Elephas maximus indicus: one gene and its partner. The protein of the gene in region 1 purifies or fractionates together with the protein of each later gene. This does not show direct contact. Links are inferred from orthologs where the notes say so. Each region holds a gene or a part of one and is shown in the gene's direction. Other genes may lie near its edges.

Region 1 (10,082 bases):
AATGTAAAACAATATCAAACTTGCAGAAAAGCTGCAAGTACAGCACAAAAACTTTTTTCTTGAATGATTTGAGAGTAAGTTTCCAACATGTCATTACCCCCAGTAGTTTTCGTGTTAAATTACTACCATCTAAAAAAAAAAAAAAAAAAAAAATTTTTTTTTAACCTTCAGACCCCATTTAAGTTTCACTAACTGTCCTAATATTATCGTTTAGAGCAAAGAATACAGTTCAGAATCTACTACTGTTGCATTTAGTTATCATCTCTTTGATTTCCATCAGTCTGGAACAATTCCTTACCCTTTCTTTGACTTTCATGACCTGGGCACTTTTGAACATTACAGACCAGCCGACAGTTCCTCAGTCTGAGTTGGTCAGATTCATGACTGGACTCAGGTTATGCTTCTTCGATAGGAATATCACAGAAGCGATGCTATGTTCTTTTCATTGTGTCCTCTCAGGAAGGGTTTCAGTTTGTATTATCACTGATGATGGCCCCTTTGATTACGTGATTAAGGCAGCGTCTGCCACTGTGAAGGTGCTCTTCTCCCCTTTGTAATTAACATGGATTTTGCAGGAAAGTACTTTGAAACTGCAAATATTCTATTCCTCCTCAAACTTTCAATTTATTCAATTATTCGTATTGTTAGGGACTATGTTTTCCCAGGAATCCCTGGAGGTACAGTGGTTAAGAGCGACGTCTCCTAACCAGAATATAGGCAGTTCAAACCCACCAGGCCCTCCTTGGAAACTCTGTGGGGCAATCGGTCCTACAGAGTTGCTATGAGTTGGAATTAACTTGATGGCAATGGGTTTTTTTTTTTTTAAATATGTTTTCCTGATTTACTTAATGAATTATAATCTCCTGATTTTAATATCATTATTTATTTTGATGCTTAAATTGTTCTGGATTTGGCCACTGGGAGCCCTTTCAAGCTGGCTTCTGGGTATTTTTGATGCACCCTTATCACGCTTTGAGCATTTCCTTCTTTTCTGATAGAACAAGATGTTTTAGGCTCATCTTGTACTTTCCCTTTCCTAACCTTGGAAACAGCCATCTCTCTTAGCAACTCTGGCTCCTTTTACTGTTGTGCTGTTAGTTGCCACTGACTCCAAGTCGTGGCAACCCCATATGAGCAGAATAGAACTGCCACATAGGGTTTTCAAGGCTGCGATCTTCCAGAAGCAGGTCACCAGGTCTGTCTCCTGAGGTGCCTCTTGGTGGGTTCAAACCATCAACTTTTTGGTCAGTAGTTTGTCCTATAGGGTCGCTATGAGTCCGTCGGAATTGACTCGACGGCACTGGGGTTGGGTTAGTTTGTACCAGCCCGGAATTCCTTTCCTTTTACTAGAGAATGGTTAATTAGAAGGCAAGATCCGGGTATTGGATGTGCTCACTGCTATTGGGATGTCATTGTTCCCAAGACCTCTCAATGAACAGACCTAGGGAATATATGTATGTATATACATGCTTACCTCTGTATTTCTTTATATGCCTACTGAAAATCACGGATCCACACGAATAGCTCCAATTTTCAGCCCAACACAGGGCTCATTTTCCCTGTCTATATTTGTAAATCCCTCTCTGACAGTGATAAAACCCATTAAAAAAAAACCTGTTGCTGTTGAGTCGATTCTGACTCATAGTGACCCTACAGGACAGAGTAGAACTGCCCCATAGGGTTTCCAAGGAGCGCCTGGTGGATTCGAACTGCTGACCTTCTGGTTAGCAGCTGTAGCTCTCAACCGCTATGCCACGAGGGTTTCCCAACAGTGATAAACCTAGCTCCAATTATCCTTAATATATTTGCCTATTTGATCAATCCCTCTGTACATGACCAGTCTCTCACCTCTACTCCCCCCACCTCCCCTCCACGGATGTCCTCCTCACCCTGCCTATGCACCAACACCAAACACTATACCACCTGCCACATAGAAGCCCTCCTCAAACCACTTTGGCTCTGACACCCCAGGCCATTCTGCCCCTTACATGGACACTCTCCTCATCTCATTTAGGTTCTGATAGCCAATGCTAGGCAGCCCTCCTACTTGGATGCCCTTCTCACCCTGCTTGGGCTCTGACACCGTACTCAGACTTCTGTCCCCTAACCCTCATTTGGATGTTCTCCTTACCTTGCTCAGGCTCCAATACCCTGTGCTGGGCTGCCTTCCCGTGTGGGCACCTTTTTAAGCCCTCATAAAGCTTTGTCTCTGACTACTCACCATTACCACCACATGTGGACACCCTCTGTAACCTGTTTGGGGCCCAAAAACCCTGCTCAGGCAGCCCTTCCATGTAGATGCACTTCTTACCTTGCTTGCTCGCTAACACTCTGCTCTGGGCCACTGGGGAACCCTACGGTGTGGACATTTATTTTGCTTGACCCATTAAATAAATGGCTTTAGCACTGAATGGTTCTGTAAGGTAAGCAAAGGTAAGGGGAAGAGGAAGCGCCCCATAATAATTGTAATGGACCCTCACATTATGTAGTCCAGTCTAAAGCCCAAGGTTGACCCTTGCCCATTCTGAACTGGGGCTGCAATGCCAATTAATTTTCTCCACGGCACTACCAAGATTTAAATAGAATGAATTGATTCATTAGAAATAGCCATATGCTAATAATCACTGAAGAACATCATGTTTGGTAAAGTAGAGGGGCAGAGAATGAAAGAGAAACCCTCAGTGGGATGGATCGATACATTAGCTGCAACAGTGAGCTCAAACATACCAAGGATCATTAACATGGCTCAGGACCAGGCAATGCTTAGTTCTGTTACATATAACGTCACCATTTGGAGCGGCTGGACGGCAACTAACAACAACAGGAATCACTGAGAACAAATACAACTTGTTCCTTTGAATTTTACTGACTTGAAGTATTTAGCAAACTGCATAAAATTTTGCAACATCCTCTTCCCATGCCCCCCACCTGAGTTTTAGAGGTTCCTGCTGGTACAGTGATTATGCACTTGGCTGCTATCTGAAAGTTTGGCAGTTCAAACCCACGAGCTGCTCCATTGGAGAAAGATGTGGCAGTTGGCTTCTGTAAAGATTTACAGCCTTGGAAACCCTATGGGGCAGTTCTACTCTGTCCTATAGGATCGCTAGGAGTCGGAATCGATTCAAGGGCAATGGGTTTGTTTTTTGGTTTATCAAGAAGGCTTTTAACAATTACATTAAATTGGTTAAAGAAATTCATCCGTCAGCAAATATACTGAGGACTATATAGAAATACAGTCTAGAAATACCACAAGTGGGTGGCTTTAACAAACAGAAATTTGTTTTTTCACAATTTTGGAGGCTAAAAGTCCAAATTCAGAGTGCCGGTCCTAGAAGAAGGCTTTCTCTCTATAGGAGAAGGCCCTCGGCTCTACTGAGCTTCTGCTCAATCTTTCTACGTGGCTTGGCATCTCCCTTCCCCCATCTGTTTCTCTTGCTTCCTTGTTTAAGCTCTTTTATATCTCAAAAGAGATTGACTCAAGACACACCTACACTAATCCTGTCTCATTAACAGAACAAAGACAACCCATTCCCAAATGGGATTATAACTACAGCCATAGAAATTAGGATTCACAACACGTTTGGGGACACAGTTCAATCCATAACAGTGACCTACTCTATGTACACTGTTGTGTACTGTGTAAATACCATGCTGTGTACTCCCAACCAGCATTCCAGAGAGGATACGCCGTGCTATGCCCTGTACATTATACTGCCTTCTCTTCAGACGGCAAGGAAGGGGGAGCTTTAGTGTATGTGACAGGGTATACATGCACTCACACAGATATATGTGTATAGCATGTATGTATGTGCTTGTGCTCATGATTTTAACACACATGCAGCCACACACATTATGGACACATTTGCCTATCTCTATGTCATTATATTTTGAACAGATTATGTACTTTTCTGCAGACTGTGCTGACACCTTAGTGAGGTTCTGGCAGCTTTGGGTTTCTGAGGCCTCTCATCCCTGCAGCCATCCTCTCACCCTCACATTTGGCCTGTGCTGTGTGTATGGATTTCAGAAAGGATAAGCACTTGTGAGGAGATGTCACTTCACTTTCCTGCACGAATTTACCAATGTTCAGTAGCCGGAATCAGAGCCCCTCTTGAGCTAGACAGAGGCCCTGGCAGATAATCCTGCCACCCCCACCCCAAGAGTCTACATGCCTGAACTACATCTCTACAGAGGTAACAAGCCTTTCATGTGTGCGTGCCACAGATTCTTTAGCCTTATATGTATCTGCATGCCCATCTGGAGAGCTCCTAATGACACAGATCTCTCATTTTCTATTAAGGAGTGAAATCAGAGGTGTAAACAGTGGTTCGGGAGTCAAATCCCTTTTGGAATCTTGGCCCACCGCTTACAATCTTGCATGACCTTGGGCAAGTCATTTAACCTCTTTAAAATTTAATATTCTTTCTTATAAAATTGGAATAAAAATAGGGCCTACATCAAGAGGCTGTTGTATAGATTAAGGTAGGTTTAGAGTTTCGTAGAGAGCCTGGCATTTCGCAGGTCACCAGTAAATGTTAGGCGTTCTCATTATAAGTTACATGTTCACCTCTGCATTTATCTCTATATACCTATTGAGAATCATGAATCCACAAGAATAGCTCCAACTTTCGATCCAAAATCCACTTTTTTTCCCCCTTTTGCTCCACCACTCACCATGTGGACCCACCTCTGTGGGCTCCTGCAGAGCAAGAGAGAAACAGGATAAGGACTTTACACATATGTGGCCTATTTCACTGATTCTACAAGCCACCGGTTTTAAGATACACAATTTAAGAAATTATATTATAGCATTAAGAAAGAAAGATACGCTGCCATTTATCCTATGAAATGCCAAACGATTGTAAGATTCATCCCAATTGCATAGATCTTACGATGGCAGAAGAGGCATCTATTCTTGGAATTGTCGACAAACGGCAAGTATTCAAAACATAGTACACATCTTTACACGCTAAAACACACAACACAGATGTACCAGATACGCACTGATGACTCGTCTCCGGTGTTCACCTGCGACGCCACTCTCGCCCCTCACTTTCGGCCAGAATCCGGGCCCGCGCGGCCAGCCTCGGGCTGAGTTTCACTTTCCATTCTGTGGGAAACGAAAGCCGAGGGGCTGCGGCCCACGGGGCGGCGCGCGGGCGGAGGCAGCACGGGCGGCGCGACGGGGCCGAGCAGACGAAAGGCAGACTCGGCCAGGAGCGCGGCAGACGAAAGGCAGACTCGGCCAGGGGCGGACGGCGCCGCCCAGCCCGTTCCGGACAAGGGCTCCGCGCTCCTCGCCCTGCTCGGTCCTGCTCTGCCAGAGCTCGTAGGGGACCGGGCAAAGAGAAACCTTCTCTGCGTTCCAAGAATCGAGCTTAACAGCGGAGGCTTGGCGTTTTCGTGGCACTTGAGGCAAGTTTGATGGTAATTTTGGAAGCTTTCTTTCCAGAAAAGACATCCCTTGACACTCAGTTCAGATGCCATCTGGGTAATTAATGAATGTATCTGGGCTCTTTTGTAATAACGGTGTGTGTTTATTACATGGACATATTGAGCCTATGTATTTTTTCCCCCAGACTAATATATTTATTTGGGCTTCTTGCGTGACTTTGTGTTTTACTTAAAAAAAAAAAAAAGTTTTGCGTGCTCATAAAAAATTCAAGCAACGTAGACAAAATATAAAGGAGAAACAAAACTTTAAATCTTCAACTCTGTCATGTATGTGTACTTTTCTAGGTATTCTCCTGTGCCCAAGTCTTTGAAAATCAAAGTGAGGTCATTCTGTAACATTGCTTTGTAATTTGTTTTTTCTACTTAACAGTATATTATGGGTATCTTTTCATGGCAGGACATATAGAAAGGCCAACCTCATTTTATTTTAAACTTCTGTATAATATGGGAAGTACATAATCTGTTAAATGGTTGGTAGATTTTTAGGTTGTTTCCAGTTTTTACTGGTATAAGTGATGCAACAGTGAATATCGTTTTATGTACCCAAAACCAAAAACCAAACCCATTGCCGTCAAGTCCATTACGACTCATAGCAGTCCTATAGGACAGAGTAGAATTGCCCTATAGGATTTCCAAGGAGCATCTGGTGGATTTGAACTGCCGACATTTTGGTTAGCGGCTGTAGCACTTAACCACCACGCCACCAGGGCTTCCACGTTTTATGTATACATCCACGCAAATGTACAAATCTATTTGTGGGCAATTCCTAGAAGTGGAATTACTGAGTTCATAGGCATAGTATTGAGAAATTTCAACTATTCTGTCAAATTGTGCAAATCAGAGTAATTTGTCCTTAATTCCTCTGCTCACTCCAATTTTTTTTTTCCTGGAAAAGAGCCAAATTTAGACCTTGAGACAAACATAAGACTCCATTCTATGTCCTCTAAAAATCTAGGGTTCAAAGTGTTTGACAATTAAAACAGAGGCTTTAACTTCTTAACAGCGTTGAGGTAGCTATACTTTGAAATCCTGCAAGAAAATGAGGCAGATATTTGAAAACATTTTTAAAAATTCATGTGATGTTTTCTTTTTGCTATTGTAGTATACAGAGTGGAGCAGAGGATTTAATCGGCCATCTAGGTAATGCAAACATCCTCCCTCCTCACTTTTGCTTCCATTTCTGAGGAAAGTAGTTATTAATGATTGAATTATTTGAATAATTTATCACATTTTTGCACTTTAATTTTAATGTGTCATCTGGACTTGTAAATCAAAAAACCCATTCCTGTCGAGTCAATTCCAACTCATAGTGACCCTGTAGGACAGAGTAGAATTGCCTCATATGGTTTCCAAGGCTGTAAATCTTTATGGAAGCAGACTGCTACATCTTTTTTCTGTGGAGTGGCTGGTGGATTTGAACCGCGACCTTTTGGTTAGGAGTGACGAGCTTTAACCACTGCACCACCAGGGCCCCTTACCTGGACCTATGAGTAATTAAAAAACCCAACCCAACCCGCTGCCGTGGAGTCGATTCTGACTCATAGCGACCCTATAGGGCAGAGTAGAACTGCCGCATAGAGTTTCCAAGGAGCGCCTGGCAGATTCAAATTGCTGACCTTTCGGTTAGGAGCTGTAGCACTTAACCACTACACCACCAGGGTTTCCTCATTACATTTTTTTAATATGATATTTTTAGTAGTTCTGGGGTAGCTTTTTAAATTTTTCTTCTTTTCCTGCCTAATTTTCCAGTCACTATGGGATGGTTTTTGTGTGTGTGTGTGTGTGTGTGTGGGGTGGAGACTTTTGGGGGGAAGACAAATGAGAAAGGTTTAACTGGGGCACCTCACCCATGAGTGGAAATCCCAAATGCACCCAAGAATCACAGTCCCATTCCATGGAGGGTCCTTCAGAAACGCTCCAAGCCAGCCTTCCCATCCAGTCGATCCGGTCCGCCTTTGATTCTTTGAACAGGTGAAATAATCACAGAGACACAAATAGTATTTATTTTCAGGTTACCAAATTAAGAATTGTCCTTCAACTTTGATCACTTTGATTTTAGTTTGAGATAATACTTTAACTCCTCAGACAGTAGTGAATCCAGTTTCTAAATTCCAGAGCCAACGTGGTCTTTTTTTAAAAAGCACACCTAATTGTGTGGTATCCCTGTTCAGGAACCTTCAGTGGTCTCCCGCTGCTTTTAGCACAGCATCAGAAATCTGTACTCTGGCCGAAAGCCCTGCAAGGTCTGGTCCTCACCTAACTCTCCAACCCAACCCAGGCTGAAAAACAACCAGATTCTGTATGTTTTCTAATCATTCCAAAGTAACTGGATATGGAATAATGGTCGGAATGAATAATGATAATAGCAAATACAAAATAAAACCAGATGTTGGCATCAGATATTTAACTTTTTTCCCAGAATTTCTTCTCAACTATTTGAGTAGGACACAATTTAAGGAAGCCGTCAGAGGCAATACTAAAATTGAAACAAGGATTCCTTATACAATAAATGAAATATTACAAATGAAAAGCTCAACTCCTTTACTTAAAATGTCGCCATAAAATGCTAATGTAGCAAGGGAAACAGGCAGGCAGACCTCTGATGGTGAGTGAGAACTGGGCACATTTCTGATAAGCTAAAGTGTTCATAACCACTGAGCTCAAAATGGATAGGAGATTAACACAGGGTCTGCATCTCTATCTTGTTTTGAATGGGAAACCCTGGTGGCACAGTGGTTAGGTGATATGGCTGCTAACCAAAAGGTCAGTAATTCAAATCCACCAGCTGCTCCTTGGAAACCCTCTGGGGCAGTTCTACTCTGTCCTATAAAAAAAAAAAATTTTTTTTTTTTTTGGAATCGACTTGATGGCATTGTGTTTGGTTTTGGGTTTGGTTATCAAAGAATAAGGAGTCCCTGGGTAGTACAGTGCACTTGGCTGCTAACTGAAAAGTTGCAGGTTCAAGTCTACCCAGAAGTGCCTTGAAAGAGTGGCCTGGTGATCTACTTCAGAATAATCAGCCATTGAAAACTATGGGGCACAGTTCTGCTCTGACACACATAGGGTTGCCATGAGTCAAAACTGACTTGATGACAACTGGTGTCAAAGAAATTAGGGGAAAAAAAGGCAAACTTTTTGGTGTTTTTTTTTTTTCCACTGTTAGAAAATACCTTGCACAGTCTTGCACTTTTACACAGTGATGGTCTTCAAAGGGGAAAATGTTTAATGTAAACACTCTTAAAGACAGTAAGTCCTAATCTCTTCCAAATGGGCTGTAGCTTCGGGATTCCCTATTATTTTGGGTTTCATCTGGAATATTCTAATCTGTGTGCCCAGCCTATTACCATTACTCAAATGTGAACACATGACTAAGAATCAGGTCAGAGTTTGTTTTTTACGTGATGGGGGTTGGATTTGGAAGACAGCGAGACTGCTGCAAGCATGTTCCTGGCATGTTAATTTTGTTCTTCTTAGGGCATTTAAGGTCGGAGCTGGTTTATCCTGCAGAGAGTCTAGTTGTGAGTGAAGAGTCCAGTTAGAGACTGGGACCACCTCAGTTTTCCTGCATCACGTCCCCTGGCCTTTTGCTGTGAAGAGTGATTCTGTAGCTACGATGGTGGTGAGCCTGCCTCAGCTGCTTCCGTCGTTTACATCTCCCCCTGGTTTTAAGGGTAGAAAATTCAGGAAGGTGGGAGCTAAGTCAGTTTAGTATTTTGGGGCCATATTTTTGAGTCAGAGGTTGAGTTTGAAAATTCAACTTCCTTGGAATACATGCAGCCTCTCCTGTGGTGAGGAAACCCTGGTGGCGTAGTGGTTAAGAGCTATGGCTAATAACCTAAAAGGTCAGCAGTTCGAATCCACCACGTGCTCACTGGAGACTGAATGGGGCAGTTCTACTCTGCCCTATAGGGTCTCTGTGAGTTGGACCCGACTTGATGGCAGTGGGTTTTTTGTTCTTCTCTGGTGGGTGCTTGTTCCCACCTGCTTGGCGTAACTGCTTCCTCTCTTGCCCTTCCTGCCTTTCCCTACCCTGTTCAGATTTCTGAGTTTCACTTTCCTTCCCTTGTTGACTCGCCTACCTTTCGCACCCTGTGGTCAGTCCTGCCGGTTGCTGCATTGTGCTCTTGTTGCTTTGGACCTGGCCAGCCAGGCTGCTTCCTGCCATATTTTGCTGAATGAAGTATTTGTGAGATCTTGGCAGAGTGCGAGACAGTGTCTCTGGATGATGCAGGCTGGTCCATTCTGGCTCATCAGATTTCCCTCAGTGATGGTCTGAACATCCTGCATCTTGCTGATAAAACTGCCTACTGCCATTTTTCCTCTTTCAACTTACTTCTGCTAGGATGTCCTGTTAGGAAACCCTGGTGGTGCAGTAGTTAAGAGCTTGTTTGCTAACCAGAAAGTGGGCAGTTTGAATCCAAACCTATTTAATACCTGTCTTAGTCATCTAGGCTGCTATAACAGAAATACCACAAGTAGATGGCTTGAACAAAGAGAAATTTATTTCCTCACAGTAAAGAAGGCTCAAAGTCCAGCTCCAGGGGAAGGCTCTCTCTCTGTATTGGCTCTGGAGGAAGGTGCTTGTCCTCAATCTTCACCTGGTTGAGGAGCTTCTCAGTGCTGCTTTC
Region 2 (10,593 bases), about 62 Mb from region 1:
TCTCATTTTCTTTTATGGGCTTGTCTAATCTTTGGCTGAAGGGTGAACCTCGGGAGTGACTTCATTACTGAGCTAAAAGTGGGCTATACTCTCGGGTTTCTCCAGTCTCTGTTAGGCCAGTAAGTCTGGTCTTAATGTGACATAAGTTTTAATAGTCCTTTGTAGAAATTCCAGGTGGCTGGAATGCGATGATCCTCTGATCAGGGTGGGGAGGATAAAGCTTGGTGGTGCATTTAAATAGAATCAGTTAGAGTCTTAGGGGCTATTTGACCTCTTGTACAATTTCTAGACCACTGCTGTCCAACAGAACTTTTAGGGATGATGGAAATGTTCTATATTTGTGCTGTTCAATATGGTAGACACTAGCCCCATGTGTCTACTGAGGACTTGAAATGTGGATAGTGTGACTGAGGACTTGGTTTTTTTTCTTTGCTTTCTTTTTTAATTTTATTTTCAGTGTTATATATTGTAAATGACTTTTTTTGGTCTACGGGTCTATGAACTTAAAACATGTATAGACCCATGTAACCATCCCTATAATCAGAATATAGAACAGAATAACTGAGTTTTTATGTTATTTAATTTTAATTAATATAATAAATAGCCACATGTGGCTAATGACTACCATATTGGACAGCACAGATCTAGACTTCTTTTAGAGCAGAGTTCCTCCTCCCTATATTAAGAGCACTTACTTTATCCCCAAGCAGATTTCCGCCATTGGAAGAGATCTAGGGACAGTAGGGGTTATGATGTTATAAATACTTAAGCCAACACTTTTCTTGAAATACCCTCAGCAAAAACAAATGAGTAAATAAATTACTTAAATTAAAATAAGTAAATGAGGGGGTGGTTGAAAAATAAACAACAGAAAGTTTGATTTTGAAGCTGGGTAAAGGGTATATGAGGTGTCATTGTATTAAAAAAAAAAAAACCTAGACTCCTTATTTTTGTGTGTACTTGAAAAATGCCATAATGAAAACAAAGTTTGAATGCAATATGGTATCCTGCATTGAATCCTGGAACAGGAAAATGACATTAGTGGAAAAACCAGTGAAATCCTAATAAAGTATATGGTTAATAATGGGAGTTCCTAGGTGGTGAAAATGGTTACCACACTTGATTGCTAACTGAAAGACTGGAGGTTCAAGTCTACCCAGAGGCACCTTGGAAGAAAGTCCTGGTGATCTGCTTCTAAAAAAAATCCACCGTTGAAAACCCTATGGAGCACAGTCCTGCTCTGACACACATGAGGTCACCATGAGTTAGAGTCAACTCAGTGGCAGCTGGTTAATTTCAGGTAGTGCTGGACTCCTTTGCACCTAGTTTTTGCTTCTTTCAGTTTTGGCCCTGTGCCCCTAGAGACCTACTCTTCTTCTTTCTTCTTCTTTTGCTCTTAGTTGTTAGGAGCCCCTCCTGAGACGTGAATGAAATGGAGGGATCCTGGACCTCTTTCATTGGCCTGTTGTTCCCTTTGGCTGTCTGACAGAGGCAGATCACAGCACCAGAGGAAACTTTATGACACAATAATATGTGGGAATTTGTATTTAGAAGCCACCAGATCCTTCTTCCCCTAAATTTTGCACTGGAGTTACCCTTAAAAAAAAAACAGATAAAGCTCAATTCCTAGAGTTTTGGTGTAGATTTAGACAGTTACATCATTAGGGTTGGTGTCACCCAGTGTGGTAAGTCATGGTGTCATCCCCTACCATGGACCTCCTCCTGTATCAGACCATTCAGAATCCTTAGTAATGTTTATTATCAATTTTAATCATGGAATAATATGTGATTAATATAGTTGTAAATTGCTTAAATGTAATATTTCTTTAATTGGTGGGATCCGAAACACAGGTATAAAGAAACTAAAGCAAAAAAGATATTTGGATTGTCTTGTTCCTCTGGCTTGTGTTTTCCTCAGAACAATGAAGATCTCCCACAGCCTCTAAGTGCTAGGGTGAGGTGTGTTTAAGGTAATCAGAGTTTCCAAGGGCTGAGATACTTCTTCACTGTTACTCATCTGGTGTTTTTTAGCCCTTGCATTATCCTCAGAGAAAGCACCCTAGGGCTTTCCCCACCTTCCAACCTGAGCACTGCTTCTTTCCAGCAGGCTATTCCCGCTGTTCCACTATGGTGCAAGCTTTGCCACTCCTTTGCTGTGTCTTGCTGTCTCCAGTGGCTGCCTGTCCAAAAAATGTCCAGAATGGGGACCTGATTTTCCAGCCATCTTACACAGAGCTGGGGCCTCTGCCAAACATGCTCTCAGGCCAGGTCCTTCTCACAGATCAGTTGCTGGAATCTCTTCCTCAAAGCCCTCTCTCCTCCCTTCCAGCCCCTTTGCCTGAGTACCTGTCCAGTGTAGCTCTAAGGGTGGCTCTGGAGGAGATTGGCTGCCCAGCTGAGGCCCACCTTCTGCAGTTTTAGCAATTTCAGATGGGAGGAAAGGACACCACTGTAACCCTCATCTGTGAGATTCAAAAGCTCAATGAGGAAGAAAAGATTGACAATGCTGAGCTCGTTCTGACAGATTTGGGGGAACTCCCAGGGGAGCCTGGGTAAACCCAGCACTCAGCTGTCCACTCTGCGGAGTATTTCACAGTGGAGAGTACACCTACTGGGGTAGTTGGTCTCTCATTTACTTCAGATGGTAATTGAGTTTGCTGAAGAGCTATCTCTCATGTTGCTGGTGCCATAGTTCAAATCTCCCTCTGTCAACACCACCAAGAACTTAAAGTATGAGTATTGGGAGAATTTCGAAGAATTAGGCAAAAGGCTGAAGAAGCCCCCAAATTAAGAACCTCTTATTGTCATTGTCTATGGATGATTAGATACAAAATGTTTATTTTTTTTGTAAAAACATTCCACAGCTATACTGAAGGCCTTTATAGGAGTATAGAGTCAGGAGTTTGTTCAGGTATACCTCAGATACGTAATGCCACCTAGGTAATGAGTCTCCTTCCTCAGGGTTGTGTTCAGGAAGGGGACACAGCAGATAGTTAGAAATGATAGAGACAAAGTAGGACAGATATACCTCTTCATTTCATTCCAGTGCTAAAAGACACATGTAACTGGTGTCTCCTCCTAGTAGGTCCCAGCCCCTATTTCTTATCCCATCTTCTCTTTCTTTTTCTTGCTTTCAGTCATCAAATATTGTGTATTTGATAAGTTCTAGGCATGACAGGCAGAGACCCTGGGTGGTACGAACATTAAGGAGCTAGGCTACTAACCGAAAGTTTGGAGGTGGAAGTCCACCCAGAGGCACCTCTGAAGAAGGGCCTGGCGATCTACTTCCAAAAAACCAGCCATTGAAAACCCTATGGGGCACAGTTCTTTTCTGGCACACATGGGGTTTCCACTAGTCAGAGTTGACTCAACAGTAATTGCTTTTTAGGCATGAGAAATATTTTAACTTTTTCTCATTCATCTACTCTGCACTGTCTAAATCCCCCCAGCTAAATGCTGTAGCTTATTTAATTTTTAAGCTGAAAAGAGAATCATAGACATCTAATCTCTCCTGACTCTGGGTCTCCCTGGCTTCTGTTATGAACTAAAGTGGGCATGTGGCAGGGATATGTAGGAAATGCCACAGGACAGGGGTTTCAGTATTGAAGATGAGTATGTGACAAGGGGACAAGGTTTGTGCAACCAGTACAAATGGGCAAATATTTGTAGAGATTACATCCCTAACTGGTCATAGGGGAAAGCAAATATCTCCCCTTCTCACAGGATACACAACTGGGCAGAACAGGACCGAGAAGCAACCAAACCAAACCTACCAGGGCAGTGTCACTTCTCAATGACTGGACCGTGTGGTAATCTGGGGCCCCTATAAGTGGGTGGAGGTCCCCGGGTGATGCAAATGATTAGCACTTGGCTACTACCCTAAAGTTTGGTGGTTCAAACCCACCCAGTGGCACTGTGAAAGAAAGGCCTGGCAATCTGTTTCCATAAAGATTACAGTCAAGAAAACTCTATGGAATCAGGTGGACACTTGAGACTGTGTTGGCATCTCCTGTCTGGAGGGGAGATAGGAGGGTAGAGAGGGTTAGAAACTGGCAAAATTGTCACGAAAGGACAGACTGGAAGGGCTGACTCATTGTGGGAGAGTAAGTGGGAGTATGGAGTAAGGTGTATGTAAGCTTATATGTGACAGACTGACTTGATTTGTAAACGTTCACTTAAAGCTCAATAAAAATTATAAAAAAAAAAAAAAGAAAACTCTATGGAGCAGAGTTCTACTGTGTAACACATGGAGTCGCCATGAGTCGGAATTGACTAGATGGCAAGGGGTTTGACTTTGGGTTTACAAGTGGGTGAAAGTAAAGCAGAGGAAGCCCCTGGTGACCTGAAAATGGGGGAGGCCAGATGGGAACAATTGGGTCCCATTTCCCATTTCCTAGGTCTTTATCTAAAAGGAAGAGAAGCTTGGAGGTGATAGATGAGAGGTCCCCCAAGTCCTAGGTTCCTTTCAGATCACAGCACTTAGGGAAATGTTTTCGGTGTTTTGGGCTTCTTCTCACTCCAGCGTGCTCTGTTCCAGGCATGGGTGGCCTCAGGCTCGTCATGATGCCAGTTGCACTGCTTCTTTGCTACCTCCCGCTGCATGTGGTAGATGCCATTTCATATGGAACCCAGACAAAGGCCTCGATGCGCCTTACCTCCTTGGGATCCCAGCCACCCTCCTCAGACTTCTTGTTCTGCCAGCTACTGCTCCCGAAGTCCCTGCCTGGCTTCACCCACATGGCCCCTCTGCCCAGGTTCCTGATAGGCCTGGCACTGAGGAATGCCCTCGAGGAGGCTGGCTGCCAGACTTATGCCTGGACTGTGGAGCGTCAGCTCTACCGCCTGGGAGGTGTGAAAGCCACACAGCTCCTCAACCGCCATCTCCAAGGGCTCCAGAAAGGCGGAAGCATACAGGGTGAAGCATCAGTGGAGGCCCTAATCTCTGCTGTGCAGCTACTGGCCAGGGAGCAGCCAGGCCCAGACAGAGCCCGGCGCTTCCTCTCCACCGAGGACTGTGAGCAGGAGCAGGAGCAGAGTGTGCAAAGTGTACTCCGCTGGTTGCCGATGGTGGGAACCTACTACAACCTGGGTTCAGCTTTGTACTATGCTGCTCAGAACTGCTTGGAAAAGGCCAAGGAACGAGGCCAAGATGGAGCCATAGACCTGGGTTATGACCTTCTGGTGACCATGGCAGGGCTATCAGGGGGCCCAGCAGGACTGTTGATCAACTCTGCACTTAAGCCTGCAGTGAAGGTTGGGGTTGAGAGGTTGATCCAGTATTACTATGAGAAAGAGACAAACACCCCCCAACCAGAGACTAGAGAAAAGTTTAGTGGGCATCACAGATATGAGTGGTCTGGTGGGTGGACAACAACTATGGCCTCAGAGGTGTCAGAGGTAGTTAAGTTCAGTTTCCCATGGGAGGTGGGGCCCACTCAAGATCCATTACTTAGACGCTGAGGCTGGGAGTCTTGGGCTATAAGAAGGTTGTAGACACAGAAGAAAGGGGCCCTGGTGGGGCAATGATAACTAAAAGGTTGGCGGTTGTAACTCACCCAGTGGCTCGTGGGATCTGCTTTCCTAAAGATTACAGCCAAGAAAACCCTCTGGGGCAGTTCTACTCTATCACATGGGGGTCACTGTGAGTCAAGAATCAACTGGAAGGCACACAACAACAAACAGAAGGAATAAATCTAATATTCTGACAATTTCTATGTGTGTGATCAAATTCTAAATATCGGGTTCATTATTCAGGAGGAAGGCAGTGCTGTAAAATGTAGGAATCAAAAAGTTTGGAATTTGGAGTCTAAGGATTTGGCTTTGGATCCAGATTCCACATGTTTGTGCTTCTGTCATCACTGACAAGCAACGTCTTTTTCGAAGCTCAGTTTTTCAATCTCTAAAATGGAGATAATGATTCTCACCTCGATTGGTTGCCGTGGAAGTGAGAAGTGGTACAATGAATCTAAAGTGCTTAGCAAGGCACCCTCAGTAAAAGGGTAACCCGTTGCCATCAAGTCGATTCGGGCTGTCTCCTCGTGACTCTAGAGGACAGAGGGTTTGCAAAGAGTGGCGGTGGATTCAAACTGCCGACCTTTTGGCTGGCAGCCTGAACTCTTAACCACTGTGCCACCAGGACTCCAACCTCTAAACACCGAAATTCCGGTCCCACCTCTTTGTACCCAGCCCTTAAAGCCCCCAGGGTCCTGGGCCAGTCTCGCTTCCGCGGCCGGGACTCAGATTCTCGGAAATCAGCTGTTTCGGGCTATTCCATTAATTGGATTCCTTCCCTCCGCGGGTACGGGGCGGGGCTTACTCGAGCTTTCCCCCCAATCGCGGGAGCTGAAGGTGTGGTTTCGGTTCCCACAGAGGGGGCGGAGTTGTGGCGGCACCAATGAGCTCGCAGCCTAGGGGAGCCAAGGATGGGCTTGGTTGAGTGGCAGCTAGGGTCCTGGTGCCCGGCTGGGAATCGCGAGTTCCGGGTTCAGCCGCCCACCGAAGCCCGCTAAGCAGGGTTGGACCGAAGCTGACGACTGGGCGGGAGGTCCTGGTGCAGAGCTCGCTCTGGGGACGGGGGGCCTCGACAACAGCCACCGGTGGGAGCGGGGACTGCGACCCCAATCAGGTACCGGCTCTGAGAGGGCGGGAGGGGATGGGGGCACGGATTCCTCCCTGCGAAGGGAGAGAAGCCATGGGGGTTACACACTGGAGGGGGCAGCTTCTGTCCCGAGGTTGAAAGAGGAGCCGTCACTTGCTCTGCCCTGTATTTCCCGCTCTTGTCCAGCCTAGCTCCCAAACCCTAGTGCCCCCCTCCTGCAATTCTCCTGCAGCCTCCGAGGCCCAGAACCTGGCATTATTGCATAAGTTCACTGTCTCAGCCAACGCTTTTACCTTCTGATCTGCATTATTATTTTTTGTGTGCATCATTTTTGATTCTCACAAAAAAAAAGTACAAAAGTGCATACGGTTTATCCTTATTTGTTACGTAAAAAGTATAAGGCACAGAAAGGCGAAATGATTTGCCTAAGGCCACAAAGAAAATTCCGTTCCTTTTAGAAAAACTTATTGAGCATAAATATGTGCCTAAGAGAGTGAGAGATATTGGAGGAAAAGTAAAATGTTAACAGCCCTTCACCTCACAATGTTTGCGGTCCATATGGGGAGACCAGGTTTTCTTTCATAATTAGTTTACTGGCTGCCTTGCTCTTTTAATTTCAGCTGATTACTTCCTTGAGAACTGAAAACTCTTCATATTTTCTTTCTTAAAAGTAATGCAGGTACATAGTTTAAAAAGCCAAGCACTTGGTGAACATAACTGATGTCACCGAATTGTACACAAAAAGTTGTTAAAATGGCAATTTTTTTGTTATGTATATTTTACCACAGTCAAATTAATAAAAAAAAAAAAGTCAAGCACTGCTAAAAGGGTTAAAATGAAAAATAGGAGCCCCTGCTCAGTCCCTCCCCTTCCCTGTACCTATTTACAAGGTAGAATGGCAGCTGATTCATGCTGGTGGAGGAGAATCTCTCCCATCTCAAACATTTTTCCTTGCCTTGTAATAAAATCATATGACTTTTTAGATCACAGATGGGCTTGCTTTATTCTATTTTGTTAGGCTTAGGCTGCAACAAGAATAAGTTGTAGTTCACCAAAAAGACATCAGATGCAGTGGACAGGAAAAGGTGGGAAGAAAGATGTACGACCCAGCCTGCTTGGTGACAGAAAAAGCCAGTTTTTAGTGAAATTTCTGGGTTATTCACAAAGTTGATAATTCACGTTGAGAATCGGAGATTAACAGAGGTCGTAGAAGGTTTTTAGATTGAAAACATTATGCTGAGTGAAGTAAATCAGTCAGAAAAGGACAAATACTTATCCCACTTATTTGAAATAGCTAGAACAGGCTAATGTACAGAGACCAAGCATCTGTCAGTTTGTTGTTGTACTGTAGGGGCTTGTGTGTTGTTGTAATGCTGGAAGCTATGCCACTGGTATTCAAATACCATCAGGGTTGCCCATAGCATACAGGTTTCAGCTGAGCTTCCAGGCTTAAGACAGACTAGGAAGAAGGACTGGTTGTCTACTTCTGAAAAGAGTTAGCGAGTGAAAACCTTATAAATAGCAGCAGAACATTGTCTGATACAGTGCTGAAAGATGAGCCCCCAGGGTTGGAAAACAATCAAAAGACGACTGGAAAAGAGCCGCCTCCTCAAACTAGAGTCATCCTTAATGACATGAATGGAGTCAAGCTTTCTGGACCTTCATTTGCTGACTCAAAATGAGAAGAAACAGCTGCAAACATTCGTTAATAATCAGAACGTGGAATGTACAAAGTATGAATCTGGGAAAATTGGAAATTGTCAAAAATGGAATGGAATGTATAAACATTGATATCCTAGGCATTAGTGAGCTGAAATGGACTGGCATGCCCGTTTTGAGTTGGACAATCATATAGTCTACTATGCTGTGAATGGCGACTTTAAGAGGAATGGTGTTGCATTCATAGTCAAAAAGAACATTTCAAGACCTATGCTGAAGTACAGCACTATCAATGATAATATCCATATACCTACAAGGAAGATCAGTTAACACGACTAATATTCAAATTTATGCACCAGCCACCAAGGCCAAAGATGAAGAAATTGAAGATTTTTACCATCTTCTGCAGTCTGAAATTGATCGAACATGCAATCAGGATGCGTTGATAATTACTGGTGATTGAAAAGCAAAAGTTGGAAACAAAGAAGAAGGATTGGTAGTTGGAAAATAGGGCCTTGGTGGTAGAAACAACACACTGGAGATTGCATGATAGAATTTTGCAAGACCAATGACTTCTTCATTGCAAATACCTTCTTTCACCAACATAAATGGCGACTATACATGTGGACCTTGCTGGGTGGAATACACAGGGATCAAATTGAGTACATCTGTGGAATGAGACGATGGAAAAGCTCAATATCCTCAGTTAGAACAAGGCCAGGGTTGACTGCGGAACAGACCATCAATTGCTCCTATGCAAGTTCAAGTTGAAGCTGAAGAAAATTAGAACAAGTCCATAAGAGCCAAAGTATGACCTTGAGTATATCCCACCTAAATTTAGTGACCTTTCTAAGGATAGATTTGACATGTTGAACACTAATGATCAAAGACCAGACAATTTGTGGAATGACATCAAGGACATCATACATGAAGAAACCAAGAGGTCATTAAAAAGACAGGAAAGAAAGAAAAGACCAAAAAGGATGTCAGAAGAGATGCTGAAATTGGCTCCTGAGTGTCCAGTAGCTAAAACAAACAGAAGAAGTGATGAGGAGCTGAACAGGAGATTTCAAAGGGCATCTCGAGAAGACAAAGTATTATAATGACATGCGCAAAGACCCGAAGTTAGAAAACCAAAAGGGAAGAACATGCTCGGCGTTTCTCAAGTTGAAATAACTGAAGAAACAATTCAAGCCTTGAGTTGCAATATTGAAAGAGTCTATGGGGAAAATATTAAATAATGCAGGAAGCATCAAAAGAAGTTGGAAAGAATACACAGAGTCACTATACCAAAAAGAATTGGTTGACATTCAGCCATTTCAGGAGGTAGCATATGATCAGGAACTGATGGTACTGAAGGAAGAGGTCCCAGCTGTACTGAAGGTATTAGCGAAAAACAAATCTTCAGGAATTGACAAAATACCAATTGAGATGTTTCAACAAACGGATGCAGGGCTGGAAGTGCTCACTCATCTATGCCAAGAAATTTGGAAGACAGCTCCCTGGCCAACTAACTGGAAGAGATCCCTGTTTATGCCTATTCCAAAGAAAAGTGATCCAATGGAATGAGGAAATTATCAAACAATATCATTAATATCACACACAAGTAAAGATTTGCTGAAGATCATTCAAAAGTGGCTGCAGCAGTATATCGACAGGGAACTGCCAGAAAGTCAAGTTGGATTCAGAAGAGGGCGTGGAATGAGGGATATCATTGCTGATATCAGATGGATCATGGCTGAAAGCAGAGAAGACCAAAAATATGTTTACCTGCATTTTATTGACTCTGCAGAGGCATTTGACTATGTGGATCATAACAAATTATGGATAACACTGTGAAGAATGGGAATTCCAGAACACTTAATTATGCGCATGTGGAACCTGTACATAGATCAAGAGGCAGTCGTTTGGACAGAACAAGGGGATACTTGTGGTTTAAAGTCAGGAAAGGTGTACGTCAGGGTTGTATCATTTTACCATACTTATTCAATCTGTATGCTGAGCAAATAATGTGAGAAACTGGACTGTGTAATGAAGAACATGGCATTAGGATTGGAAGAAGACTCATTAATAACCTGCATTATGCAGATAACACAACCTTGCTTGCTGAAACTGAAAAGGACTTGAAGCATTTACTGATGAAGATCAAAGACTACACCCTTCAGTATGGATTACACCTCAACATAAAGAAAACAAAAATCCTCACAACTGGACCAGTGAGCAACATCATGATAAATGGGGAAAAGATTGATGTCAAGGATTTCATTTTACTTGAATCCACAATCAACACTCATGGAAGCAGCAGTCAAGAAATCAAATGACACATTACACTGGGC

What was found. The genes of interacting proteins can lie anywhere in the genome.
Region 2: the proteins of USP18 (region 1) and STAT2 purify together in Homo sapiens (affinity purification with western blotting; 6 studies listed by BioGRID and IntAct, with this or other methods). This does not show direct contact. The link is inferred for Elephas maximus indicus from reciprocal best matches to the Homo sapiens genes USP18 and STAT2.

What each region holds. Positions count from the first base shown.
Region 1 is NC_064822.1:54,742,291-54,752,372, reverse strand, and holds the start of USP18 (ubl carboxyl-terminal hydrolase 18), read left to right. Parts: upstream 1-5,213; 5' UTR 5,214-5,427; intron 5,428-8,928; exon of another isoform or gene 8,929-9,073; intron 9,074-10,082. UniProt on the Homo sapiens protein: Interferon-induced ISG15-specific protease that plays a crucial role for maintaining a proper balance of ISG15-conjugated proteins in cells. Regulates protein ISGylation by efficiently cleaving ISG15 conjugates linked via isopeptide bonds.
Region 2 is NC_064822.1:116,324,642-116,335,234, reverse strand, and holds the start of STAT2 (signal transducer and activator of transcription 2), read left to right. Parts: upstream 1-6,422; 5' UTR 6,423-6,488; coding exon of another isoform or gene 6,489-6,625; intron 6,626-6,784; coding exon of another isoform or gene 6,785-6,898; intron 6,899-10,593. Other genes in the region: APOF (apolipoprotein F), read left to right, coding at 4,540-5,359, 6,187-6,348, 6,489-6,625, 6,785-6,898. UniProt on the Homo sapiens protein: Signal transducer and activator of transcription that mediates signaling by type I interferons (IFN-alpha and IFN-beta).